Canis lupus familiaris: one gene and its partners. The protein of the gene in region 6 binds, or shares a complex with, the protein of the main gene of each other region. Links are inferred from orthologs where the notes say so. Each region holds a gene or a part of one and is shown on either strand. Other genes may lie near its edges. The genes, in order: NUMA1, GPR17, RGS16, HRH4, PTGDR2, GNAI1 and FFAR1.

Region 1 (4,168 bases), on a different chromosome or scaffold from region 6:
TCTCTGTCGCTTATGAATAAATAAATAAAATATTTAGGGATCCCTGGGTGGCGCAGCGGTTTGGCGCCTGCCTTTGGCCCAGGGCGCGATCCTGGAGACCCGGGATCGAATCCCACGTCAGGCTCCCGGTGCATGGAGCCTGCTTCTCCCTCTGCCTGTGTCTCTGCCTCTCTCTCTCTCTCTCTCTGTGACTATCATAAATAAATAAAAATTAAAAAATAAATAAATAAAATAAAATATTTAAAAAAACAAAAAAAAGTCATGCAAGGTATGAAAATTCAGATTGAGCAATCACTGTAAGCCCCCAGTAGGACACAATTAAATCCACACCATGTAATGAAACTGCAAAACACAAACAAGATCTTTAAACCAAAGGAAAAAAGCAGGTTACCTACAACAACATGATAGTTAAACTGTGAACACAGTTCTCAAAAGTAACAACAAAAACGCAAAATTTCAGTAAAATAACATTTTCGAAATGCTGAGCGAAAATAATGGAAGCCCAGTACCCAGCTAAACTGTCAAGACTGAAGAGGCAATAAAGATGTTTCCACAAAGAGTGTTTACCACCAATTGACCCTCACTGAAGAAAACATCTGAAGGATATATTTGTCTAATACGAAAGGAATAAAATTCAAGAAAGAATGGTGAAAAAAAACGGCATATAAGGGTAAAATGAAGTAACCACTGACCGCACAAAACAATACTATCACAATAACAATTATTGCTACTTAGGATTGTTCGATATTGAATAGGCTGTTTGGGGGAGTGGTCTCATCATTGTAAGTGCTCATTTTGATTTTTGAATTCAGACAACACCTTTTGATATGTTTAGCATAACACTGAGTAAGAGGCTGAAATAAATGACCCCCAACACACTTAATGACCATAGGGTGTTATTAGACACAGCTGTCAAAACATTCTCAGACCAGCTCTGTTTAGCCACCTGTGGCAGGGCTTTCCCTCATCCTAACAGTTCTAGAACTCAAGTACTACTCAAGGCATTCTTCTCACTTTAATATTCCATAAATAAAAAAGAACATTCTAAATAGAAGTGTTTTTCATATGAGCTTTCAGGTAAGATCTTCTAGCTTTGGGGGAGTATAGTTTTGGCATTAGATGAAGAATCAGGCAGTACAGGGCAGCCGGGTGGCTCAGCGGTTTAGCGCCGCCTTCAGCCCAGGCTGTGATCCTGGAGACCTAGGATCGAGTCCCACGTCAGGCTCCCTGCATGGACCCTGCTTCTCCCTCTGCCTGTGTCTCTGCGTCTCTCTCTCATAAATAAATAAAATCTTAAAAAAAAAAAAAAAAAGAACCAGGCATTACAATTAGTCATTTACTTGAACTTAGGCCAAGAAAAGAGTACTTTGGAAGCTTTTACAGAGGAGTATGTGCTTCTTCTTCTACAGGAGAACCATACAGGAACAGAGAGGGAGGGAACACATACATGCATCCCTACTGATGGAAAGAATATTCCCTCTGGATTTCCAAATGTTCATAGCAGTAAAGATCTCCACAAGGTAACCCAATTCCTTTACCACCAAGGTTTCTGACCACCACAAAGTACCGCACTTGTCATTCCAGAACTTTGGGAATACAGGACCAGGCAACAAACCAAGAGAGGGAAACATGGATTAAAGCAAGTAAATATCACATTTTTAGAAGGCAGTGCCATTCCAGGCAAAAAGATAGCATACAGAGGTTCAAAAGCCACTAAATGAAGATGGGAAGGCCAGGCTATTTATTTCCTTTCGGAACATTAAAGCTCATTTCAAAGTGTATGTTAATGGCCAAGGCAGGCTTCACTCACACCTGCCTAGGCATCAGGATACGGGGACAAAAGACACTGTCTCCACCTAGAAGGACAGACATGCAGACACTCTTCCAATACCAAGTGAGAAGCACTTCCGGGCGGGCCGGGTAAGCAAGAGAGGGCACCCAGAAGAGGCAGCATCAAGCCAGTTAGGCTCTTTCCCACCCACAACCTTCACAAAGTCACTTACAGTCACAGATTTGTGCATTTCAAGATGCTTCCATGAAACAACTTACCTGATTTGACCCTCAGAACAACCCCAAGAAATAAGGTAAGGCAGGTTAAGTTCGTTGTTTATGTATGAGACGTGAGGCTCAAAATAGGTGTCTCGTCCAAGACGAGGCGCACCCCCACATAGCCCCTTACCCTCTACTCCTTATTGAAGACAACCATGCACTAGCTATGTAATCCTGGCCAAGTAAGCATTATAAAATACTTCCGCTTCCCCGTCTGTAATAAAGGATAATAGGACAATCAGGAATATATTTTTAAACGATCCACGTAAAGGGAGTGTCTGAAACGTAGTCGGTGCTCGGAAAATGTTTACTACTAGTATTACTACTACTATTGTTAACAATAATAGGCGGAGACTGCCCTGGGACCTCTGGGTCACAAGCCTTTCAGGAACACGCACTACTCGCACCACCACCCCCCCCCCCCCCCCGGTCGTAGACAGAATTCCACCGACACGCCCCCAAACAGACCCTCCCCCCTCAGGCACGCCGGCACCTCCCCCCGGACATGCCCCCCTCCTCACAAACCTTACCCCCAATAGATTCTCCCCAGTCAGAGTAGGTTATGAAGGAGGCCTTCCGCTCGCACCCGCCTCTCCAGCACCCCCTTTAGGCCCGGGCATCCCTGCGGGTGCCCAGACCGAACGCCAGCCGCGGGCCCGCGCCGGTTACCTGGCCGCGCGCTCCCGCTCCGCCTCACGCTTCCACGGGATCGTTTTTGCCGCGGGCTCGCGCCAGCGCTGTGAGCGCACAATTAGTTTAAACCATGGCCCCGCCCCCTCGCGCCACCCTCTGATTGGCCCCAGTCGGCTGGAGTTTCACGCAAGGGCACGCTTGAGGACCCGGGAAAAGGAAGTGTGAGGACCACTGGGAAGAGAGAAGGGGGTGTCACTATTTCCGGACCCCGGCCTGGACTTGAGAGCAAAGAAAACTACAAATCCCAGCACGTCCCGCGGCATTGGAGCCCCGCCCCTGGCGAACTACAGCTCCCGGTAGGTATCGCGGCAGCGCTTACGGCGGGTCGCCGGGTCGAGGTAGTTACTATGGAGTTGACGCTGAGTAAGCCTGAGGTAGTGGGACGCCGAGGCTGGAGGGAAAACAACTGCGGGTGAGTCAGGCGGGAACACAGGAAATTCGTTCTAAGAGAGATTAAGGAATTTTCTTTCTCGGGGACCTGAGAACCCCTCCCCCCCGCACACATCCCTTACCCCCCTTTGACAACGAACAAGACACAACATCCATATGGAATAGACCGAGGGAGGGGAGGGAAGGGCAACGAGATACATACCCGTACAGACCTGGGGGCGCTTAAGAACGTCCGTATCACAAACCTGAGACCCCCCCTAATACAGATGCCTCAAATCCCTGACGGAGGGAATTCTGAAACGCCCTCAGAAAATGGTTGGGTTTTCCTCTGATGAACTGAGACCCTTCAAGACATGGAAGTAAAATTAGACTAAATCACAGGCCTTCACACTGCAGACGTATGGGGCTTGCACTGTCTCTTTCCTTTACAAGCAGCAAGGTCCCAGGGTACAGCCTCTTCCTCAGAGTCAGGAGCATCTGCCCACACACACTCATTTGGGGTCCTGTCCCTAAATTCCCTCTTCTCCCTACAACTCTGTGGTCTGCTTCTCAAAGCTCTATGGTTAGCATTTGATTCCTTTTACAGTCTTCATGACAGATTACATTTGGCACCTTACCCAGCACCTTCATCTTCAGTCTCTCTTTGGAGTTTTGTGAGTCAAGGATATTTCTCCCCATTTTACAAATTGGAACACTGAAATCCAAAGAGGAAAGCGACTTACCCAAGGCCACACACCAAATCAGTGACAATTTAGGACTAGACCCCAGGTCACCAATTTCAATCTAAGTCACTAGCTTGAGTGTACAACCTGTCTAGCTTTAAGATTTGTTCCAAGGAGTAAACTGCCCCAGGGCATGAGCTAGTTTGTATCTTGGGCTTCCTTGTGGCATCTGAAAATATAACCTCCCAGAATACACTAGATTATGTGGCCGACATGTGACATTCTTTTTCTTCCACCTGTAGCCCATAAACAGAAGCCCTCTCTAGGCCAGGCCATTCAGTCTCCTATTAGATCTCATCTGATTATTTCTCAAA
Region 2 (3,500 bases), on a different chromosome or scaffold from region 6:
CTCAGACCCCCTGGCCTGGGCCAGCCCTCTGAGGCCTGTGATACAGGACTTAGTGTCCACGTGGGGCCAGCCTGCATGGGGGGCTGTCAGAACCAGAGGCAAAAGCCTGTGCTGCCTGGCTTCTCCTGTCTTCACTTCTGCTTTGCCATTCTTGGGTGCAGGGGAGGAGGTCTGGGAAGGTGGTTATGTTACCCACTCACGAAAACCTTCAGCATCACAGTACAGTTATGGTTATGATCAGTATGATCAAGTGCCAAAAGGGACCTGCCAGGGTGGTAGGTGCCATGCCAGGGAATAGAACAGCTCAAAGGTTGGCCCCCTGTGGTTGGTCAAGCCTCCTGAGAGGGGGCAGGGCTCAGGATGCCCCTGCTGGCCTGGGCTAGTGGGAGACAGGGTCACATGCCAGGCATGACTCCCTGCCGGAGGTGTCCTAGGGCAGTGATGGAGCCTGGCTCCCCATATCTGTCCACCGTGCTGTGTGCACCACCAACTCAGCAGGGATTAGGCAGCTCCAGAGATTGTCGGGCTACATGCAGGCCCGTGTGGGCTCACCGCGGGAGGGATCCGGAACCCAGAACCAGGGTGACGTGCCCAGAGACCGCGTTGTTGGATGTCACCTGGTGGCCAGGTGCTTATAATACTCAGCTAGGAGTTAGAGTCCATGACCCCTAAACTTAGGGGGCGTCTGGCAAAGGTGCCACCCAGGGAACTCAAAGTCCTTACCCCTCCACCAAGATTCCTGCTCCGCCTTCTCTTGAGTCATTCGCAGCTGCCTCCTGGGGTTCTTTCTGCAGAGCTTTGCTGCTGTGTGTTCTTTGTGGCGGGAAGGACATTGGGAGTCTAGCAAGCAGCCCTTGGGAAAGAAAGACGCTCATTGTTCAGGAGCTGTTCCCCTGGCCTCCTCCCCTCCCACCCCCACGCGATGAAGTCACTGAATATCTAGTAAGTGCGAGTGAGCAGTGCCAGCAAAGTCTCTGCAGACGGGGTGGCTGATTGGGCCCATCAAGGGGTGTCCAGTTTTAGGGACTTGCGCATCAGATCAGACGGAGCCGGAGCCGGGTGCTGGGTACTGAGTTCTGCCCTTGGAGAGGGCGGCAGGGACGTGCCGGGAAGAAGGCACACTCCTCCAGTCTGGGTCGCAGGTGCCCCGGCGGGGGAGTCCCTCTGAGGACAGTCTGTGACAGTGCGGCAGGGGTGGGGCCCAAGGCTGGCGTCGGTCCCCTCCTGTCGTCCTGTCCTGGGGCTCACAGCTCCGACCTGGCGCTCAGCGAGCTCTCGTTGGTTTTCCCTTCAAAGCTGGGGGGTGGGCCTGAGAGCCTTTTGCCACAGATCAGGTTGCACAGGGCGTCGCGGAACTTCTCGGCCACAAAGAAGTACATGACTGGGTCCAGCGCCCCGTTGAGGCTGGTGAGGCAGGAGGTGATGCGGTTTCCCAGGGCCAGGATGCGCTGGGTGGCGCACGAGGTGCCGCCGCCGTGGTAGTGCAGCACGTAGACAGCACGGTGGACGTGGTAGGGCACGAAGCACACCAGGAAGATGGTGAGCACCATGGCGATCATGCGGACCGCCTTGTTCTTGAGGCGCTTTTCCACACGGGGGCCCTGCCGCAGGCTGCGGATGATCAGCAAGTAACAGGTGACGGTGGTGACGAACGGGAAGGTGAAGGCCACGGCCAGGGACACAAGGGCGTGGTGGGAGGCCTTCTCCCGGTACAGCTGCAGGCAGATGACCGTGTGGTTGGTCTGCACCGTCTGTGGGCTCACCAGCAGTGGGGCCATGGCCACGGCCACCACCACCCAGAGGAAGGCACAGGCCAGGTGTGCGTAGAGGGGCCTGCGGAGCTTGAGGGACTTGACAGGGTGCACGATGGCCAGGAAGCGGTCAGCGCTGATGCAAGTGAGGAAGTAGATGCTGGCATACATGTTGAGGTAGAAGAGGAAGCCGGTGAGTCGGCACGGGATTTCCCCAAATGGCCAGTGGTTCCCAGAGAAGTGGTAGACGAGGCGGGTGGGCAGGACCAGCACGCAGGACAGGTCGGCCACAGCCAGGTGCATCAAGAATACGTTGGCAGGGGTGCCTGACTTGTGGTCCCGGATGAAGAGCCACAGGGCCAGGGCATTGCCAACAAAAGCCAGGATGAAATCCAGGAGGTAGAAGGAGGCAAAGAGGATGTTCTCCAGTGGCGTCTCCTGGCCGCATTGCTGTGCGGTGGCCAGGGAGGAGTTAGCAGTCAGACCCGAGGAAGCCACCTCTATGCCATTCATGCTTCAGCCGGAAGCAGAGCTGGGGGACGAGCCTGGAGGGAACAAGCAGATGGGTTCCAGAGCCTGGAACCCGAGAAGCTTCTTAGCTCAGCATCACCTTGGGGACTACTGAAGGCAGCTCCTGTGTTCACCTGGGGGAGAATGAGTGTCAGAGCCTTTCTGAAGCTCAGCACAAAGCAAAAATGAAGCCAGGGCTTGGAGCTTGCCAGGCCACTGCTGCGGCTGACTTCCCACTGCTCAGCTGCCTCCCTGCCAGGCACACAGGAGCCTGGGCCCTGGGGCTGGGTGTCCCAGAGGTCCACTCTCTCAGACCATGGGGAGGGTGGGCAGTGAATCCATCTGTCTGGGCTCTGGGATGGAGGGAGCATTCCCATATTTTCTGCCATGCTCCCCAAGTGTTCTTTTTGAATGGCAGGAGATGGAGTGAGGGGCTCTTGGACTCAACTCCCAGTGGGTGGGTGGGGTAGATCTTTCTTTCCTTCCTTCCTTCCTTCCTTCCTTCCTTCCTTCCTTCCTTCCTTCCTTCCTTCCTTTCTTTCTTTCATTCTTTCTTTCTTTCCAAGATTTATTTATTTATGTGGGAGAGATAGAGAGACGAGGAAAAATCCTAGGTGGGGGGAGTGTCAGAGGGAGAGAATCCTCAAGCAAACTACTGGCTTAGCAGGGGGCCCAATGCAGGGCTTGATTCCAGGACCCTGAGGTTATGAGCTGAAATGAAGAATTGGACACCTAACCCACTGAGCCACCCAGGCGTCCCTAAATCACCTATTTCTGAGAGCCTGGTGCATGCAAGCACAGCCAGCTTCTCTTTGGCCTCATCCTTGCAGGGTGAACCCTGCTCACCCTAAGTCTCAGGACCCTTCCTGGCCCGCCTACCCAGGCCTTGTGGCATTTCCCACCGACTGCAGTGCGAAGCCTGTCACGGCTTTGTGCTCCTCTCCTGTCAGCCCCCGACCACAGCTCCCCCAACACCTGCCACCCAGAAGGGCCCCAACAGCAGTATAGTGACGGGCAGTTTCCTGGAAGTCAGGGGCCTGCTGTCCGTTGGCACCTGAAAGCCATCCAGGCCTGGGTCCCAAGCTTTCTGGACTCAGCCTACCAACTCCATTTTGGACATCCTAAAGGGTGGAGACCTGTATTTCAGAAAGCCCTGCACTTGGGCCCCAGGCCAGTAGGGGAGATTTTAACACCCAGAGTAGTTTAACAACCAGGAGGCAGATTCTTTTCTAGGAGAGG
Region 3 (3,930 bases), on a different chromosome or scaffold from region 6:
ACAAGCCCATTCACCCCTGTGCCAAATAAGATCACTCTCTCAGCTCAACCCTGCCCCGGCTGGATACCTCCCCATCCCCAATCCTCAGCGGGGAAAGGGCAGGCAGGGTCTAGAGGACCCACAGAACATGCTGAGGCTCTGACCTCTTTAGGGGCTTCACTGCGGATGAATTCCTCAAAGATCTTGTGAGCCCGGGAAGCCAGCTTGGCAGCAGATCGGAGCTTCTTAAACTCTTCACAGGCCAGCCAGAACTCCAAGTTTTCCTCACTGAACTCTGTCTTCAGGAAAGTGTGGAAGGCAGCCACTCCATCTGGGGTTGAGGGGAGAGAGGGAGAAACAGGTCAGATAGCAGGACAGCGGGGAATAAAAGAAGAAAGACAGCAATTGTAGTTAATGGTTCTATTTTTAGGATGTAATTTTCTTGAACAAGGACCTGCCTTTGTATTCTGAACAGAGGCTGGCACACTAGGGGATCATTATTATTATTACTACGACTATTATTTTGCCCACGCTTTTCAGAATCCCTCAGGCTGGCTCCAAAGCACATGGGTACACATGTGCCATCCGCAGACAGACACAACGGGGTCCTACTCACTTTTACTGCTCAGTAGCGAGTCAAAGGACTCTTTCCACCCCAGCACATCTTCTGAGAAGTTTCTGCTAAAAAAAATATATATATAATAAATAAACAAATAGCCAAGATTTTAATTTAAAAAACCCAACATACTAATGCATAGCATAAATCCTAGAACTCTGATGGGAGTTGTATGTTCACACAGAGATTTGCTCAGTGATTATTGGAGCCAACTTCTTGAACCCTTAGTTGAGGCCGCAGGTATTTTTCTGGAGGACAATTCAGTAATGAGAAACCAAAGCCAGGGACCTTCCGGCCCTCAGTAAATAACTCTCAGACTGTCTCTTCACTGTCAAAAATCATTTCTATTCCTCTGACTCTGAGCTTTGTTTTCTACACTTCACCCAGGAAGTAAGGGCTTTATGGAATAGAGGCTAAGCCTAGCCATAACCCCAGAGCCTAGAGCAGCACCTGGCACCACTGATGTTAATTATGAAAGGGCTTGGGGATCCCTGGGTGGCGCAGCGGTTTAGCGTCTGCCTTTGGCCCAGGGCGCTATCCTGGAGACCCGGGATCGAATCCCACGTCGGGCTCCCGGTGCATGGAGCCTGCTTCTCCCTCTGCCTATGTCTCTGCCTCTCTCTCTCTCTATGTGACTATCATACAAAAAAAAAAAAAAAAAAAAAGAAAGGGCTTATAGCCAAAGTGCATGCTAATGGAAGCAGAATCACTGACCGAAAAGCCTTCAAGTGTTCTTAGACCCCGTCCTAGACCTGGTTGCATGGACAATGACGTCTCCAGGTGGGAGAGTCTGGTAACTGGACATTCCCACCTTGGGTACACACAGCTGTTGGTGGCCTCAGAACCCTGGAGCCACCTACCCAGTCACCCATAGCAGACCAGCAGGAAGCTTCACCAAAATCTCCAGGAAGGGGTCACCAGGGCCCACCCTTGCATGTCCTAGTTTCTCCTTGTATTTTCTCTCTTGTGGCTGTTTTCCTAAATCTGGCTCCCTCCCCCCTAGGGCCCTAGGCTGGCTTGCAAGACTTACCCATCTTTGCTGTGTTTGCTGCTCCACTCGAACTTGCCAACATTCCCAGTATCTGAGCCCAGCTCTGATTTGTGAAGAAAGATCCCCAGTCGTGTCTTGAACTCTTTGGCTCTGGAAGACAAAGCAGGAACATATAGGGATCCTACATTTGCTCAGCCAGGGCAAAAAGCCAGGCAAAAAACTCCTGGGATCCCGAGGAGTTTGGGGCTGGTGCCACCCTAATTCCAGCCTCAAGGGTTCCTGGGAAACTTCGGCTGTTCCCAGGGCTTAAACTTTGCTTGTCTGTTAACAGTGAAAGTCATGTTTCAGCTGTTCTTCAGCAGGACTTACACTTTCTGAGTTCAGGGCACAGCACACTCGGGTCCCCCCCTCCCCCCATCTAAGCACACTGATCTATCTTTGTGCCTGTTGATCAGCAGAAGGCCGGTGGGCACCCTCTAGACTTGTCCTGAATATTTCTCAAACTGTGTGGAAATTGATTCCTGCTTCCACCTTCTTCCCTTTTCCTTCCCAGCCATCAGCTTCAGCAAGGACTAGAGGTGGTTGAGTAGCTCCCTGGGGAGTGGGCACATCCCTCACGGGTGGACCCCCCAAAAACCCCTCCCTGCCTTCTCGGGGCCCCGCGAGGGGCATGCTCCCAGGTCTGGGCTGTAGACTGAAAACCAAGCGCTTAAGAAACTAGAAAAGGGAACTCTGCCCGCCGATGCCAATGTGCCCCTCCTGCAGCCGGTCTTCAGCAGGTCACCTGAGGACTGCCACTTGTCAGAGGATGGGGAATGGCAGTCCACGGTGATTCCGCTGCTTCCCGCTGCTTCTCCTTCTCGCTTCTCTTGGCCCGTCGCTCCTCTAAGACTCTAGGGGAAGCCTCTGAGAATGTGGAACCTCCGCTTCTCTACTCCAGTCGCTCGAGTCCCCCCGGGGCCCGTCCGCCCCGCTCCCGAGGGACTGGCGGGACCTGGCCTTCCTGCGGGCGGCCGGCAAGCTCCGGGGACGAGCTCCTCTTACCTCTCCAGGCAGGTGGTGGGGAAGGCGGCCAGGGTCCGGCACATGGCTGCGGGTTCGGGGCAGCACGTCGTGGAGAGGACGGTGACGGGCTCCAGCGGTCACCACGAACCACCGCGGACGCCGGGCGGCAGGAGCGCAGGGGCGCAGGGGCGGGGGCGGCGGCGGCGGCGGCGGCGGGGCGCGGCGGGCTCTAGCCTGGCGGGGCTGCACTCGTCGACGCGCGCCTACCGCGGCTTTTATTCCCTCGGAGGAGCGGGGCGGGGCCGGGCGCCGCCGACCAATCGGAGGGCGGTGGGGGCGGGGCCGGGGCTCGAGGGGCGGGGCGTCCGCAGGGGCCCGCGGCGCGGCGCACGTGGCTGCGGCTCCCCGGGGCTGAGCGGGCTGCGGAGCGAGGAGCGGCGGGAAGTCACACGGCCCGAGAAGCGCCCACTCGGCTCAGTCGGAAAAAATCCCGGAGGCCTCCGGTAAAAGCCGAAAGCCGACTCCGCGGTAGCCGGCGGATCTGCGGGGCGGGGGGGGGAGCGCGTTGGGGATGCGCACAGCGTGGATCTCGCGCCGCCTGCGCCTGCCTGAACCTGCTGCGTCTTGACCCACGGCGGCCAGGGCTGCAAGCCCCGCAAGACGACGCCACGATGACCCTGATAACCCCCGTTTGCTGTGCTCCTCCCCGAGCGGTCGGTCAAGGGGGCCAAGTCAGCCCTTTACCACAGCTCCTCATCTCATCACCTGTTTCACAGATAAAGAAACTGAGTCAGAAAGTTAAAGGGACTTGCGCAAGATCAGAGGGTTGGAACTGGCAGACAAACGGCCGGGGGGGGGGGGGGGGAGCGCTCTTTATGGAGCATCGGTGTGCCAGGCGTTTTTACTGAGTTAGGACGAGCGAGGTGAAAGAATTTGCTCGGCGTTTCACGATTAGTGTTATGCCAGCATTCAAATACGAATTTACCACGCTTTTTCCACTGCCCTCCCAGCCAAAATTAGAATCCCAGCACCTCTGTAAGCTGATGAATGATCCTGGGTTCAAGCAGCAGCTAGTTCAGTGTCTTATCTCTGAAGTCCAGGTAATAAATGCCCTCCCTCTCTCCCAGCCTTCCCATAAAGGCCTCACAGCAGCCCTCCCCTCCCACCGTGGCTCCTCCGTTCCCCTTGGGATTGCTATTTAATGAGGCTGCGTGTGAGGTTTGCAGTGTGGAATCCAGAGCTGGATTTCCAGGTTTCACATCATGGCTTCACCACGTACTGATGGGGGAGACCTTAGGGCAGCTTCTTAACTTTTCTGTGCCTCACTTTCCTTATCTCT
Region 4 (4,213 bases), on a different chromosome or scaffold from region 6:
GTTGAGTTGGCTCAACACAAGGCAAGAGAATGAAATGTAGCGCAATATGATTTGTCATTATTATTTTCCCCAAATGTTACCTACCTGACAGTCCACTTCTATGAAGGCAATTCCCCACAACCTAAGGCACAAGGCAAGATTTCTAAGTCTGTTAGATTGCTTTCTCTTCCCACATGAAATTACAAAAAATAGAATTAAGAATTCTGGAATTAAGAAATTACATTAAACTAGTGCTGCATTGCTTTTTTAACAGAAAGGCCTTCTAAGTTGACTAGGCATAAAAACTGGCTAGTTTTGAAAGGGACTTTGTAATTGTGGAAGAACGTACAAATTCCTAATACCTCTTGTTAGTGAATTAATAGTGAGTGAAATGTAAAGAAGAATAAAGATTAAGGAGAGTGACAAATTGGAAAAATAATTCAGATTTTTTTAAAGACCTTATTTATTCATAGAGACAGAGATTGAGAGAGAGAGAGAGAGAGAGAGAGACAGGCAGAGGGAGAAGCGGGCTCCATGCAGGGAGCCCGACGTGGGACTTGATCCCGAGTTTCCAGGATCATGCCCCGGGCTGCAGGCCGTGCTAAACCGCTGCGCCACTGGGGCTGCCCCTCATTCAGATTTTTAAAAAAGGTCATGATCATTAATTTTCATGCCATGAATGAAAAATAATAAAATCAACCTTAAGTCAAATCTCTCTATGTAATATGTATTTTATTTTTATCAGCTACATTTTTAAGAAATTACAAGAACCATCTTACACACAAGACTTCCAGGTTTGTGCAGTTAAAAAATATGTATTACATAGCAGCTGTGCAGCAGAGTCCTATCTGGTACTCCCTGACTCTGCACTTCATCTCCCCATTGCAAGTAATCTGCTGGGGGCTCCTCCTGGATGTCCCCTCTCTGCTCTGTGCCCTGGAAACTCACAAAAGACAGTAAGCAGGGGCAGCTGCACAGCTGATCTCATTTTCTCCCCCCCTTTTCTCAGGGATCACTGTCCTTCATTGCCTAATGTCCGGTGCTCTGACAACCATTGTTTCATATATTCTGCTCAGTTTTTTGGTTCTGTCAGATGGGATGGTGAATTCAGCCCCCGGTATCCCATCATGATCAGAAAAGAATCTTTAACTAGATCTATACCAGTTCAAAAAATAAGTCTCATTGGAGCCCAATTTCTTATCTATTTACTGAATCGATTATATTTCACATATATTATGTAATATTGCTCTATTAAGGGGAGGTAGTTAAATCACATTCAAATGTTTACACTAAAACATTTCACTATCTTTTGGAAACTACTTTTTCAGTGTCAGTTAAAGGGAAACTGTTATCACAAGATTGCTTTATCAAGAATCAGGAAGTACAATGAGATCAGCATTAGATCTTGAAAAATATTGTTATGAGTAGGAGACTATATATATTAGGTACCCGATTGGAAAACATACTTGCCAGAATTGTCTTCCTGGATTAATTTGCTCTATTGAGCTTCTTCATCATTTGATGTGATGTCAGCTACTAATGGAACAATTACTTTACCACTAAGTACTCGCATTACTCTAGCATTTTTAATGAGCTTACTAGCTTTTGCTATAATGCTAGGAAATGCTGTGGTTATTCTAGCTTTTGTGGTGGACAAAAAGCTTAGACATCGAAGTAACTACTTTTTCCTTAATTTGGCCATTGCTGACTTCTTCGTTGGTAAGTTTCATGTCTTTATTTCAGATAATCTTTTCCAATTATAACTTCTTTCTAAAACCTTTAAATTAGCTTTTTTTCTTTTTAAAGATTTTATTTATTTATTCATGAGAGACACAGTCAGAGAGAGAGGCAGAGACACAGGCAAAGGGAGAAGCAAGCTCCATGTAGGGAGCCTGATGTGGCACTTGATCCCAGGTCTCCAGGACCAAACCCTGGGCTGAAGGTGGCACTAAACCACTGAGCCACCCGGGCTGCCCTAAATTAGCTTTAAAAAAAAATAAGCTTCTGTTATTTCAAGGGACTGTTTAGAATTGGGGATGTTAAAATAAAAAAGTTTAAGGATTAAAATTCTGAGGAAACTATATGCCACTTTAGGGGAATAGTATGTATGTGTAAATCAGGTTTGTAGGAGAATTTTCCTTGACAAAATTTATTTTCTTTTTATAGAATAAAAATAAGTCCAGAATAGTTCTAAAATTGCTTTAGTCTAAGATTTATTTGTTTCTGGAGCTATTTTCCTTGTATATTTAGGTTTATAAGTATATGTAGAAATGTCAGCTGATAGTATTGCTTTATAGGAGCTTCTAGTATAATTTAACTTGTCGTGTCTATAGCTACATAAATGCTTTCATTTATTTTACAGTGAAAAAAACCCCTCATAAAATGCTTACTTCGTTGCCTGGAACATAGGGTTACTCAACAAATGTTAGTCCTCTTTTGATTTCTCTACAGATAGATGACAACTCAAAGCAAGATCACAAATGATAGTAGATTACCTACCATGTGTAAGGACTGTTAAGTACTCAAGTATGATTAGAAAATGACATATACAGAAGACTAAGTTAATTTCTTTCTTTGGTAAGGTTTCAATGTAGGAGAGTGGATAAGAGAAGCTCACAAGTGACTGCAACAGTATAGAGTATGATACGAGAACCACAGGGACCCACCAAGTGCTATGGGCACTCAGAGGAGGGAGAAAGCACATCTGGTTAGTGGGTAGAAGCATCTGAAATGAACTTCAGAGGATGGGTAGAATTTCCATAGGCAGAGATGGAGAGGAGTATTCTAAGAATCAGCAAAGACATGCTGGTAGAAAATCATCGTGTCCATCTTCCTAAGTGTGAGCTCCAGACAGGCTGTGTGGGATCAATAGGGGATGAAGCTGGAGTAGTTGGAATCTATATAATGAAGGCCCTTGAATACTAGTGTGTCTGGACTGGAGGTTTTTCAACAGAAAATGTGAAGATCTGGATTTTTAAAGCAGAAGAGTGATCGGATGGATTGAGGCTTTACCTTGGAGGCATTAGCAGAGATGTGGCAGGTGGCAGAAGCCAGAGCAGGTGGCGGCTTGGCTTCGGAAACATTCCTGCAGCAATCTAGGCACAAGTCATATGATGAGGTTCTGAGCGACTGCGGGGAGTGTAGAAAGGAAGTTGGGGAGGCAGAGCTGCAAGGGTGGGGTTGGGCAGGAGATAAAGATTAAGTTCTAGGAACAAGAAAAGTATGGCATGATTTATAGGAATAGGGGGCATTAGGGAGGGCAGCTAATGCTTCTGATATTGTACTGATAAACGTCCTGGAGAAAACTTCTAGCTTTGAGAGATGGATGTGGAGTCACAGCATAGAAGGATCACAGATGAAGATGGTGAACCACATAGAAGTATTGAAAAAAAGCAAAAATCTCCCCTTTCCTCTCCTCAATTCTGCCCCTTCAGGTAACCCACATTAACAACTTGAGGTAGATCCTTCCATATCATTTTCTATAATCACAGACACATGTATAACTATATGATTATATTTAATGTGAAGAGAATATTCGCTATAAATATACTTCTCCCTCTTTGCCTTCTTCACAGAATTGTACAGCTTTTAGATAATACCTAACACTTCAAGTTGATTATGTATTTTGACTAACTCAAATGGAGTGGCAGTAGGGAGGGATCGGGTAAAACTATACCCAACCACAAGAGCCTGAGGCCTGAAGCTTTTGAACAAAGATGGTACTAGATAAGCACAGAGGGTTTCCTGGTATGGCCCAATGGAAGCATCAGGGCAGCCCCACCAGCATGTGCTTGCACACCAAGGGAAATATCCCTGCTGGTGTAGTTATTCAACACTCCTGAGGGTCTCCCTCCATTGGCAGGTGGATGGGAAAAGGAATGGCTTTGCAGCTGATGACAGCAGACACAAGCCAGAATCTTTGTTAATCTGCCAGTCTCCTCCTTGATCTTTCCCTTTCCCCCTACCAGCTTCATCCAGAAGCCCACTTATTTAATAGTATTTGCCATGATGGTATAAGAAATTAGGACAGCCTCTGAGAACTTTCTGTAACAAGATTGGAGTTTGAGAGTTTGGTGTTGGGGCTGTTCTTTGTCCTTAGTCATGCTTAGCAGTGGGCTTTTTGGCTCTGAGCCTATAGGCTCATGATGGTGGTGCTGGGCCAGGGGAGAACTCAGGAGAACTTTCCTGTAGTTGTAAGGCAGAAATTCTTAGTTCTTTTGGTCAAGAGACCTTG
Region 5 (2,875 bases), about 36 Mb from region 6:
CACTTTGGGCTAGTGGCCCGGCCTGTGTGTGCCTCAGTTGGATCATGAGTAGAAGTTGGGGCTGACAGAACCCGTCCCTGGGATCGAGCATCTCAACAAACGTGGGGTAGGTGACTGCGTGACAAGTTAGACCAGACCAGTGCTTCCCAAACCTTTGTCCCGGTTTGCTACTCCGAAACGCAATCGCTGGTTTCCTGTGAAGATCTTTACCTCCTTCCCCCTCCGACCATCAGGCGGAGCTGAGCCCTGAGCCCCAGGAAGGGGTGGCCACCCCTCTCAAGTCGGAGCAATCTATGGTTTCCCGCCTGCGCTGGTCCCTGGGGTCCGCTGACCAGCAGCGCTCACTTCGCCTCCTGGGAGCTCGGTGAAGTGCAGAATCCGGGCGCCCGCCCTGGGCCCTGACGGTTCTAGATGGGACGGAGGCCCCGGAGGCGCGTTGGGCCGCGGAGCCCGGCTCGCCTGCCCGCCCCCGGGGCGCTCTTGTGCCCGGTCGCTGCGCTCTACCCCGACGCGGTGCTCAGCGCCCGGTTCAGGGGGCCCCTCTCGTCCTGGGACCTGGACCGGGCCCTCTGCGCTGACCGCCCGCGGCCGCCCTGCAGCCAGGCAAGCAGGCGTGCGGGCCCGGACGGGGGCGGTGGCGCGCGGGCGCCGGGGGCCTGGCGGGGCCCAGAGGAGCGGCGGCGGCGCCCGCTGCCCGGGCCGCCCAGCTCGCTGTCGTCCAGCAGCACACTCTCCAGCACGCTCCGCAGCGAGCGCCGCAGTTTGCGCAGCACGTCGGGGCAGGTGAGCACGTAGAGCAGCGGGTTGATCACGCTGTTGAGGAAGGCCAGGCTGGTGACGAAGGGCAGGCCGCGCCACACGAGAGGCCGCAGCGAGGGGTCGGCGTGCGCGCGGGCCTCCAGCAAGCTGAACACGTGGTAGGGCCCCCAGCAGAGCGCGAAGGCCGCCACCACGGCCGCCACCAGGCGCACGAAGCGGCTGGGCCGCCGGCGGCCGCGGTGACACAGCTGCGCGCTCACGAGAAAGTGGCTGGAGGCGATGATGGCCAGTGGCACGACGAAGGCCACCAGGAACTTGCTGACGGCCAGGGCTGCCTGGCGCGTGTTGCACGTGGCGTCGCGGTCGGGCCCCGGGTTCAGAAGCAGCACGTTGTAGTAGCACATGATGCGGCCGTCGAGCCGCGGGATGGTGTCCCGGAACACGAAGTAGGGCACAGTGTTGAGCACCGCCAGCGCCCAGAGCCCCAGGCAGACCCTGTGGGCCATGGCGACCGTCCGGTGGTTCTGCGCCCACACTGGCCGCACCACCTGCAGGCAGCGGTCCAGGCTGATGGCGCTGAGCAGGAAGCCGCTGGCGAACATGTTGAGGAAGAAGATGGAGGAGTGCAGCTTGCAGAACGTGGTGCCCAGCTCCCACGAGTGGCCCACCGCCAGGAAGTACGTGAAGAAGGGCAGGGTGGCGGTGGCCAGCAGGTCCGACAGCGCCAGGTGCAGCACCCAGGTGGTGACCACGGTCTGGCGCATGCGGCAGCCCACCACGAAAAGGATGAGTCCGTTCTCCGTCAGGCCCAGCAGCGAGGCCAGCCCGTGCAGCAGCACCGAAGCGTGGTCCATGTAGCGCATGCTGGAGTTGCTGTGGCTTTGGATGCGGCTCATCTGCTCCAGGATGGGGCAGAGGGGCTTCAGGGTGGCGTTGGCCGACATGGCAGGCTCTGTGGCGGAGAGAAGGGGCTCTGAGGTAGGTGGCGCCTGGCAGCTGGGGACCCCCTCCCCCAGGACGTTGGAATCCCACCCGTGAACTGTAGAGATGAAGCCTGGAGGGTGGGGACAGGGGGAGGGATCAGGGAAATTGAGCAAAGACAGTAAGGTGGGGGGAATTACATCCCAGCTGCACACACACACACACACACACACACACACCCCGCTCACTGTGCAAACTCGGGCAAGCCATTTAACCTTCCCGAGCCTGTTTCTTCGTCTGTGACGTGGATGTCAGCTCATAACCGGCCCTAGCTCCTAGGGCTGCCGGGCGTGTCCGGCCAGTTTACAGACATGAGCACTGAGAGCGGAACCGGCGCGCAGAAAGCACCGCATCGATGTTGAGATTATTTTAGTATATGTACGCCTGAGCGAGCACGGCGTTGAGATCGCTATTCCGCAGGCCCCCTCGGGTCACATGGAAACGGATACAAAGCCAGGCCACGCAGGATTCCTTTTCCCCATCCCTGCAGCGTTCCCCACCTGAGATGTCAGCTGGCCTGGGGAAGGGGAGTGGGAGAAGCCTGTGCCTTTAAGGGACGTGCCCTCCCTGCCTGTCCCACGCTCAGATCTTGGCTCTGCAGCTTCTCCAGTTGGCCCTTTGCTCCCACAGCAGGGGTAGGTTGGGTGTGTTAGCCTTGAACTGTGGAGCCAGCCCCTACTCTGGTAGTTGGAGAGGAAATAAGATAAGAGAGAGGAGAGAGCTGGGCATGAGGAACTACCAGACTAGGGCCCTGGAGGCCCAATAGGGTTAGAGAACTGTCCCCTACCCGGGGAAGCCGAGCCCATGTGCCGGCTCCCCACTCCTTGGGGAAGCCCAGCCTGCTCATCTATTTGCTCAGCGACTCACTCATTCAGCAGATATTAACTGAGCAACTTCTCAGGTAAATGCTGGGGAAGCCAGCGTCTGACAGATGTGCACACCCACAGCCTCCTCAAAAACCCAAGACCACCGGATGCAAAGCTGGTTGAGACTGGGGAGAGCAGAGGGGAGGCTGCAGGCAAGAATTAGGGAACTAGGGGCTAGGCAGCAGGGGTTGGGGACTCAGATTGTTCTGGGGCCCCACGATGTGCCAGCGACTCCAGTAGGCCCCTTACGTAGGTGCTCTCTGGCTCAG
Region 6 (3,500 bases):
ATAAAAACTTTTAAAAGGTACCCTTCATTTTTACCATTTCCATAAATAAGCATATGTACAATCAGTAAAATTCTAAGAATACATGTTAACACTTTCTCCAAATATGCAATATCAGAGCAATATTTTCTATTTAGAAATAAAAGCTAAAAATTATTTTTATTTAAATCACTTTGAAAATATAAACAAGAGATTTGCATGTTCATTTTTTCTTAAATAAAAATTAAATATTCCTAAGAATGTTTCCTGTCCTTCTTCATCCAAAATATTGTCTGTCTAATCACCTTTCTTTACTGAACAAGGTATTTTATACCTAAATTTGTAAATGATATGCTTTAAAGCTACTTACTTAAAATGGAGATCTTTGAAAGTAAAATGGGTTTCGACAATTCCTGTTGTTTTCACTCTGGTTCTGAGAACATCCTGCTGAGTTGGGATATAATTTGGTTGTGCTATTCTGTCCAAGTCATTCAAATAGCTGAAGAAATAAATAAAATAATAGTTAATATAGCCCTTAAAGATCATCTACATCAAGAAGTAAAACATTTTGATGCATGCAATATCATAAATCAATGGAAATTTTTATATTTCTGTGTAATGATGTAAAAATACAACCAATTTAAGTTTATATGTTATACAATTCCCACTGAAATGAAAATGTATACTTCTCCAGCCACAAAGCCCTTTTAACATTTTCTAAGTACTGTGTACTTTGTTTCCTAAGGACACGAATTAGTAATTCTCCTTGTTAGAAACAAAACAGAATAATTTCTTAAAAACCACACACAACCAATTGTACACTAGGAGTCAGCTTCTTAAAAGTCTTTATTACACTTTTTTTAAGTAGCATGTATTTCTTTTCTGGACATTACTCTTGTTGAGGAGTTACAAAGACTGAAGTTTTTGAGAAAGTAATGAGTAGATCTCCAGCCAAAGGCTAAATTCAATACTATTCTTTTTCAGCCAGCTTTAAGTTACAAATAGGAAAACACTACGCACGCTCTTTTACTCTGCATTTTACTGGTTCTCTAAATAAATATTCATATTTGGGGATCCCTAGGTGGCTCAGCGGTTTAGTGCCTGCATTTGGCCCAGGGCGCAATCCTGGAGTCCCGGGATCGAGTCCCACGTCAGGCTCCCTGCATGGAGCCTGCTTCTCCCTCCTGCTGTGTCTCTGCTCTCTATGTCTATCATAAATAAATAAATATTTAAAAAAATATATTCATATTTTACTTCTCACTGGTTTTAGCCACCCACCCGTTCAATACTCTTTGCCAACAATGTCAAATATGTTATGCTACTAAAATGCAGTGGTGTCATACCATGCGATTATTTTTGTAAATTATTCTGTGTCATTTTATATAGTAAATAATGTTATAGAAAGTCCAGGTATGAAGAGAGTAATGTGAACCTGAGTGGTGAAAGAAGCCTTCATGGGTGGGGAGGGTTGTAAACAGAAATCTGAATGATGAGGGATGTGAACAGAAAAAAAGAATGCAATCCAGATCAGGAGAGTAGTCAAACAGTATGAGGAGGCAGGAATTGTCAGATCTTGCTTCTCACAAAGTAAGGCCCCCAGGAAGTTGTGCATAAACTCAAATGAGAAGTCTGGAATTGATTCTAAATGGGAAGCTTCCCAACAGTGTTTTCTGATACTAGAGTGCAGTGGTCAAAGATAATTTAGAAGATTCACATCTGTGTTTATTACAGAGGCACCAACTACTACAACTTTAATGGACGTTATCTTCTGAAACTGTTCCTTAGCCATTTAGAACAGATCTTACAAACAAAAGGAGCTCAATAAATATTTGATTTGTAGAGATGGAGTTGAAAAGCTATCGAAACACTGAATTAGTAATCAACAGTGTTTTAGACAGTTAAGTATATGTATGTGATATTGATACCAGAATTCATAGAGCATACCTGGAGTTATCTGCATTGTATTTATTGAACTTAAAATAATCTTATTATCACATTGCTGATAATCCCCTAGTACTCTGTGTTTTTAATTCCACATATATAATGATATACAGTATTGTAAAAAAAAAAATCTAATAAACACATGGCAATATTTTACGAATTGTCCCTCTGAAATAGTGTGTTAATCTTATTTAAAATGCACTTTGATTACTCCCATACATTTATTTGCTTAAAAATGCTACTCAATAGTCTCTAAAAATAATGCACATTCATATTTCAATAACACAAATTAATCCGGCATTGGGAAAAACTCCAATTATTTAAAATGATCATGAATTTCAAGTAAATTGGTAGTTAGATAGTCCCAGTGGGCAACTTGGCAACATCTCCCATCTCTAGCCCAAAACTCAGAAATCAAGAGGCTCTGTGACCACTATGGAGAAAAAGATTTCTAGGACTTCCTTCATTCTTGAAAAGTGGCTCCCTTGTTGCCATCGTGAAGTCAGAACTACTAGTAATGAAATACTGGGGAACCAAAATGACTTATTTTTCCAGTGCATACCCCGATACTTGAGCACACGGGACAAGTCTTGGTCATTAGACTGCAGTGGTCCAGGAAGTCCCATCATACAGGGAAAGTGACTTCAACCGATCATCTCTGAGAAGGACCCCTTAATTACTGCAAAAGCTCCCCTAGCTGGGCTCTACTCAGAGCAATCTTCTCAACATGAGTGATTCCCATTTAGCTCTTTCTGCAGGAGCTGGTGGTGCCAAAGCAAATAATATGGTCTAAGAATCGTGTTCTTCCTGTAAATCATTTTCTTCTAATTTCTCTTCGAGCTTCTGTAAAGTATGGTTTATTCATTCACTCATTATTAAACAAGAGCATAGCAAATGACAACTGTGTGTCATGGAGAAAGCACACAGGGTGAAAACAGACCGCACTGAATTTACAGTGTAGTGGCAGAGACAGAAAATCATTTCAACACAAATAAAAATTACCTCAAATGTAAATCTGTGAGTGCTCTGAAAGAAATATTTTGTATTTTAAGTATGTAAGACAGGGAGGCAAAGACCTATCTGTGAGTCAAGGCATATATCCTAAGAAAAGATGACACCAGTTGGAGAGGGGAGCTACATATTCAGTAACATGTTACATATACATATAGAAAATACATACAAAATAATATGTATATATTATATAGCTTACATAGTCATAAAGCATTAGAAATACAGATTAGGGGTCGCCTGGGTGGCTCAGTGGTTGAGCCTTCAGCTCAGGGCGTGATCCCAGGGTTCCTAGGATCAAGTTCCACATCGGGCTCCCTGCAGGGAGCCTGCTTCTAACCTCTGCCTCTGTCTCTGTCTCTCCAAAGAATAAATAAATGAAATCTTAAAAAAAATATATAGAATAGGAAATACTAATAAAAATTGGTATGGGTTACACAGTAAGGTGTATTTACTCCCTCACACTAAATCACAGAACAGAAACTGAGTATTCTTATGTGTAGCCAATGACCTGCTGAGTGATAATTGGGGAGAGCCGTAACCTATTTCTCACTGTGGTGAAATGGGTGTATTTA
Region 7 (3,522 bases), on a different chromosome or scaffold from region 6:
GGTGTTGCTAGTATTTTCCCTCTCCCTGCTGGAGCATCCTTTTTCCTACCAACTTCCTGTTCACAATTCCAATGCTGCCCTCTTGTGAGTCCCAAGTGGTATAACAGCGTCAGTATCTTGACTCCTGCCTCTTACTCGCAAATGAAGATGTTCTTTCCTAGGCCACACGTTGGGAGTAGCATCTCCCAAAGGGTATCGGCAGAGCAACCTTTCCTCAACGTTGGAGGAAAACCTCCGTAGCACTGGCAGGGGGGCACGGGGAGAAGAGGGACGGGCACAGGTGGGGAGTTGCGCCGATGGGCCCAGAGGCAAGCTTACCTTCCTTCTGTGACCTAGCTCCTGGCCTCCGGTCTTCCCTGCAGCTGGGGTGCGGCCTTCTGCCGGGCTCAGGCCTTTCCAAGCCGCTCCAGGGATGCTCCCAGGCAAGGCTGCGCTGCAGCTCCTCTGGAGGAGTCCCCAGCAGGGGCCCGGCCAGGCAGCCAGGCCCTCCTGCTCCATGCCCCTTGTCCCCAGCAGCGGCTACTACTTCTGAGATGTCCCTCCTTTCGTTCTTGCCACACTTGTCACCCGGCCGGTGCCCCCTCCCAAGTAGCCAGTCACCAGTGGGTTGAGCACCACGCTCCAAGCCCCCGTGATGAGCCCCAGTTTCCGCCAGCAGCCTCCTATGTCGGGGCGCAGGAAGCCAGCCACGTTGGAGGCATTGTAAGGTCCTAAGCAGAACAGCAGCGTGAGCAGAGCCCCGCCGGCCACCCAGGCTGCCCTTAGCTTCCGTCTGTGGCTCAGGCCTGAGCGGGCCAGTGCCCGGAGGCAGCCCACGTAGCAGAAGGCCGTGATGGTCAGGGGCAGGAAGAAGAGCAGGAGAGAGAGGGTGAGGCGAGCGGGGCCCGCTGAGGCAGGGTCCCAGGCCTCCAGGCAGACTGGAGAGCCGTTGACCGGCGTGTTGATGCCCAGGGAGCTGGTGGTGTTGTCCACCCAGCCTCCCGGAGCCTCCAGCCCGAAGACCAACCCCAGGTGACAGAGGACCAGGGCCCATATGGCCGCACACACGGCCCAGGAGTAGCGCGGCCTGCGGGCCGCTTGGTAGCCCAAGGGGAAGGCGGCCCCCAGGTAGCGGCCGACGCTCAGGGCAGCCAGGAAGCCCCCGCCGGCGTAGAGGGGCGCGAAGTGGGCCAGGGCAAAGGCGGGGCAGAGCGGGGCGGGCAGAGGCCAGGCGCCCAGGGCCAGCGCCTCCACCGCCTTCAGGGGCAGGGAGGCCGCCAGCAGGAGGTCAGAGAAGCCCAGGTGGAGGGCGTAGACGAGGCTGGGGGTGAGGCGGAGCCGGGCGTGGGACACGGCGCCCCCGATGGCCAGGATGTTGAGCGGGAAGCCCAGCGCGAAGGCGGCCACATAGAGGGCGAAGAAGAGCTGCGGGGGCAGGTCCATGGGGCCAGGGCTGAGCTCCCCTCGCTCCCCACCCTGGGATGGGCCCGGGCAGGGTGGGGGGGCAGGGCAGGGGCTCCCGGGGTCACGGACCGCCCCCAGCGCTAGAAGCCATCTAGCGCGACACCAACTATCTCAACGAGGGAGGCCCCCAGGGAGCAGGCGAGCCTGGGCGCCAAGTGAGGTCTCTAGCTCGGGCCTCTGCTTCCTGTCCTCCGTATCCTCGTATCCTCGTATCCCCGTATCCTCGTATCCTCGCTTAAAGCACAAAGGAAGCGAGCAGGTCCCGTTCGAGGAAAGGCCGCCTGGTTTCTGAGACTGGGGAGAGAAGGGGCAGAAAGTCAGGACAGAGTCAGGCCCCCGGCAGGGACAGGGGGCACCTGCATGGCAGCCGGTGGGGGGCTGGTGGCGACTCCTAGCTGAGGGGGGATGTCAGGATTGGGGTAAGGTGGGTAAAGGGCAGGCGAAGGGGGGCGGCGCGGGGTTGAGCCCAAAGGCAGGCCAGGCCCCACATCAGGGCCACCGGGAATGACCTTAGCCAACCTCAGGGGGCGCCCCGGGCAGGTAATGCTGGGGGGCCTGGGGGATAATCGCAGGAGAGAGGAGCCAAAAGAAGAGGGACTCACCTCTTGGCGCTGCCAGATGTCTCTGAGGCTCAGGAGTCCCCCTCGCTGGGCTGAGGGAGGGCGTCCAGGATGGGCAGTGAGCCGGAAGGTAGAGGAGGGCGGGGAGGCAGGGCCATTAGCCCGAGGCTGCAGCAGCCTGGGTGAGCAGCTAATGGGGCATCTCAGCGCAGGAGCCGGGGTACGGGTCCAAACGGATGATGCAAACACAGGGCGGGGGCTGGGGAGCAATGAGGGGTAGCGTGAGGCGTGTGTAGCTAGTCCCTTAAAGGAGCAGGGTGGTGGGGGGGGCGTCCAGGCTACGGCTTGATCCCACCCCACCCCAGCCTGTTCAGCCCTGCTCTGGGCGCTGTCTTCTCTCCTCCCGGCCTTACGGGCTCACTCAGACACCACAAACTTTGGTGGCCCACCCCACGGCAATTCGGTGACTGGAATGTGGGACAATGAAGTAATCATTTCAGGGATGTCTCCTCTGCCCTCCCCGGACCCCCACAGATGGTGGGCACATTTTGGGAGGAGAGGGCTCCGGTGTTCCCTGTCCTTTCCCCTCTGGCTCGATGACAGTAGTTTCTGACCCTTCCTTCTGGTGCCGGCAGGAGTGGCGCAAAGGACAGATGAGGGACGGGTCTCGTTGGGTGGCCCTGAAGTGCCGAGCCGTGGTCCCCGTACTGTGTCCCTCTGGGACACTTGGACCGATGCTGGGCGGATGGTTCGAGGCATGGATGGTGTGAGACTCCAGCGCACTGCTTAGCTTTCTTCTCAGCCTCGGAGAATTCACCCACTTACTCCCTATGGGGGTCACCTTGCCCTTCTAGGAAGATCTTTTTTTTTTTTTTTAAGATTTTATTTATTTACTCATGAGACACACAGAGAGGGACACAGAGACATAGGCAGAGGGAGAAGCAGGCTCCCTGCTCCCAGGACCCCGGGATCACGCCCTGAGCCACAGGCAGATGCTCCACCACTGAGCCACCCAGGTGCCCCTTCTAAGTGAGATTTAAAATGGCCACAGTCTGTCTGGGGGTTTTGTCTCTCTGTCTCTGACTATACCTGTGTCTCTCTGTCTCTGCCTCGGACAACACAAACGCTTTCTGGACTTCAGACTCCTCTGTTTTGGGGGGTGTGTTTCAGCCATCAGGTCCTCCCGGATTCCAAGCACCCAGGACAAGCTTCGCTAGGGGTTTCCTGGGAGCGTCCCCCCTTGGCCCCCAGGCTTCAGGTGGGGGCAGCACGGGATTCTCGGGGCACCAACAATTGCCTCCAAAGAAATAACTGAATCCATCCCCCCTTCCCTACTTCATTTGCTAAACTGATTCTTGGTTGCTTCCCTCCCATGGCCTGCGTATGTGGTCCAGCACCTCCCTGGGGATAGAGAAGAACTCGCCATCTGTTGTTTAGTATTTTATCCTTGGGAACCAACAGAACCAAAGGAAAAATCAGAAGGACCATTTCACCCCCTATAACGAGTGTTTGGAAGAGG

The links.
Region 1: GNAI1 (region 6) and NUMA1 share a complex: the UniProt entries of both Homo sapiens proteins name them as parts of the spindle orientation complex. The link is inferred for Canis lupus familiaris from reciprocal best matches to the Homo sapiens genes GNAI1 and NUMA1.
Region 2: the proteins of GNAI1 (region 6) and GPR17 are in contact, whole or in part, in a cryo-EM structure (PDB 7Y89), measured with the Homo sapiens proteins. The link is inferred for Canis lupus familiaris from reciprocal best matches to the Homo sapiens genes GNAI1 and GPR17. Residues at the interface, in NP_002060.4 of Homo sapiens: Glu28, Arg32, Lys192, Asp193, Leu194, Asp315, Thr316, Glu318, Tyr320, Phe336, Thr340, Asp341, Ile343, Ile344, Lys345, Asn347, Leu348, Lys349, Asp350, Cys351, Gly352, Leu353, Phe354; in NP_001154887.1 of Homo sapiens: Thr92, Ala94, Asp156, Arg157, Ala160, Ile161, Pro164, Val165, Leu168, Lys169, Arg171, Arg172, Pro173, Leu247, Leu251, Arg252, Val253, Glu254, Leu257, Lys260, Ala261, Met264, Ile265, Ala329, Glu330, Lys331.
Region 3: the proteins of GNAI1 (region 6) and RGS16 are in contact, whole or in part, in a crystal structure (PDB 2IK8), measured with the Homo sapiens proteins. The link is inferred for Canis lupus familiaris from reciprocal best matches to the Homo sapiens genes GNAI1 and RGS16. Residues at the interface, in NP_002060.4 of Homo sapiens: Val179, Lys180, Thr181, Thr182, Gly183, Ile184, Val185, Gln204, Ser206, Glu207, Lys209, Lys210, His213, Ala235, Glu236, Asp237, Glu238; in NP_002919.3 of Homo sapiens: Glu86, Phe87, Ser88, Glu90, Asn91, Ala126, Pro127, Glu129, Val130, Asn131, Ile132, Asp133, His134, Leu162, Lys165, Asp166, Ser167, Arg170.
Region 4: the proteins of GNAI1 (region 6) and HRH4 are in contact, whole or in part, in a cryo-EM structure (PDB 9LRE), measured with the Homo sapiens proteins. The link is inferred for Canis lupus familiaris from reciprocal best matches to the Homo sapiens genes GNAI1 and HRH4. Residues at the interface, in NP_002060.4 of Homo sapiens: Ala31, Arg32, Glu33, Lys192, Asp193, Leu194, Thr219, Glu308, Asn311, Lys314, Asp315, Lys317, Glu318, Ile319, Phe336, Thr340, Asp341, Ile343, Ile344, Lys345, Asn347, Leu348, Lys349, Asp350, Cys351, Gly352, Leu353, Phe354; in NP_067637.2 of Homo sapiens: Arg112, Ser115, Val116, Ala119, Val120, Arg123, Thr124, Gln125, His126, Ile197, Ser200, Leu201, Arg204, Asp205, Arg290, Val293, Glu294, Arg297, Arg300, Leu301, Ser304, Leu305, Leu308, Cys361, His362, Lys363, Arg364.
Region 5: the proteins of GNAI1 (region 6) and PTGDR2 are in contact, whole or in part, in a cryo-EM structure (PDB 8XXV), measured with the Homo sapiens proteins. The link is inferred for Canis lupus familiaris from reciprocal best matches to the Homo sapiens genes GNAI1 and PTGDR2. Residues at the interface, in NP_002060.4 of Homo sapiens: Glu28, Ala31, Arg32, Glu33, Val34, Lys192, Asp193, Leu194, Glu318, Tyr320, Phe336, Asp337, Thr340, Asp341, Ile343, Ile344, Lys345, Asn347, Leu348, Lys349, Asp350, Cys351, Gly352, Leu353, Phe354; in NP_004769.2 of Homo sapiens: Arg129, Gln132, Val133, Pro136, Val137, Gln140, Asn141, His142, Arg143, Thr144, Val145, Leu233, Arg236, Arg238, Arg239, Pro241, Arg243, Phe244, Leu247, Thr307, Cys308, Pro309, Asp310.
Region 7: the proteins of GNAI1 (region 6) and FFAR1 are in contact, whole or in part, in a cryo-EM structure (PDB 9K1C), measured with the Homo sapiens proteins. The link is inferred for Canis lupus familiaris from reciprocal best matches to the Homo sapiens genes GNAI1 and FFAR1. Residues at the interface, in NP_002060.4 of Homo sapiens: Glu28, Ala31, Arg32, Leu194, Asp315, Thr316, Lys317, Glu318, Tyr320, Phe336, Thr340, Asp341, Ile343, Ile344, Lys345, Asn347, Leu348, Asp350, Cys351, Gly352, Leu353, Phe354; in NP_005294.1 of Homo sapiens: Arg37, Thr39, Pro40, Ser41, Leu100, Gly103, Arg104, Gly107, Ala108, Pro111, Leu112, Tyr114, Gln115, Arg118, Arg119, Cys205, Leu209, Ser212, Gly213, Leu214, Thr215, Arg217, Arg218, Arg221, Ala222, Val225, Ala226, Tyr278.

Annotation. Positions count from the first base shown.
Region 1 is NC_049242.1:26,117,125-26,121,292, reverse strand, and holds the start of NUMA1 (nuclear mitotic apparatus protein 1), read right to left. Parts: upstream 2,801-4,168; 5' UTR 2,719-2,800; intron 2,699-2,718; exon of another isoform or gene 2,580-2,698; intron 1,530-2,579; exon of another isoform or gene 1,410-1,529; intron 1,078-1,409; exon of another isoform or gene 1,042-1,077; intron 1-1,041. UniProt on the Homo sapiens protein: Microtubule (MT)-binding protein that plays a role in the formation and maintenance of the spindle poles and the alignement and the segregation of chromosomes during mitotic cell division.
Region 2 is NC_049240.1:24,318,443-24,321,942, forward strand, and holds part of GPR17 (uracil nucleotide/cysteinyl leukotriene receptor), read right to left. Parts: intron 2,396-3,500; 5' UTR 2,265-2,395; coding exon 1,245-2,264; 3' UTR 1-1,244. UniProt on the Homo sapiens protein: Dual specificity receptor for uracil nucleotides and cysteinyl leukotrienes (CysLTs). Signals through G(i) and inhibition of adenylyl cyclase. May mediate brain damage by nucleotides and CysLTs following ischemia.
Region 3 is NC_049228.1:15,891,055-15,894,984, forward strand, and holds the start of RGS16 (regulator of G-protein signaling 16), read right to left. Parts: upstream 2,801-3,930; 5' UTR 2,675-2,800; coding exon 2,631-2,674; intron 1,737-2,630; coding exon 1,626-1,736; intron 661-1,625; coding exon 596-660; intron 311-595; coding exon 144-310; intron 1-143. UniProt on the Homo sapiens protein: Regulates G protein-coupled receptor signaling cascades. Inhibits signal transduction by increasing the GTPase activity of G protein alpha subunits, thereby driving them into their inactive GDP-bound form.
Region 4 is NC_049228.1:63,977,493-63,981,705, reverse strand, and holds the start of HRH4 (histamine H4 receptor), read left to right. Parts: upstream 1-1,413; 5' UTR 1,414-1,505; coding exon 1,506-1,698; intron 1,699-4,213. UniProt on the Homo sapiens protein: The H4 subclass of histamine receptors could mediate the histamine signals in peripheral tissues. Displays a significant level of constitutive activity (spontaneous activity in the absence of agonist).
Region 5 is NC_049239.1:56,036,532-56,039,406, reverse strand, and holds PTGDR2 (prostaglandin D2 receptor 2), read right to left. Parts: upstream 1,704-2,875; coding exon 501-1,703; downstream 1-500.
Region 6 is NC_049239.1:20,214,737-20,218,236, reverse strand, and holds part of GNAI1 (guanine nucleotide-binding protein G(i) subunit alpha-1), read right to left. Parts: intron 476-3,500; coding exon 347-475; intron 1-346. UniProt on the Homo sapiens protein: Guanine nucleotide-binding proteins (G proteins) function as transducers downstream of G protein-coupled receptors (GPCRs) in numerous signaling cascades.
Region 7 is NC_049222.1:118,100,528-118,104,049, forward strand, and holds FFAR1 (free fatty acid receptor 1), read right to left. Parts: upstream 2,248-3,522; 5' UTR 2,046-2,247; intron 1,738-2,045; 5' UTR 1,423-1,737; coding exon 523-1,422; 3' UTR 501-522; downstream 1-500.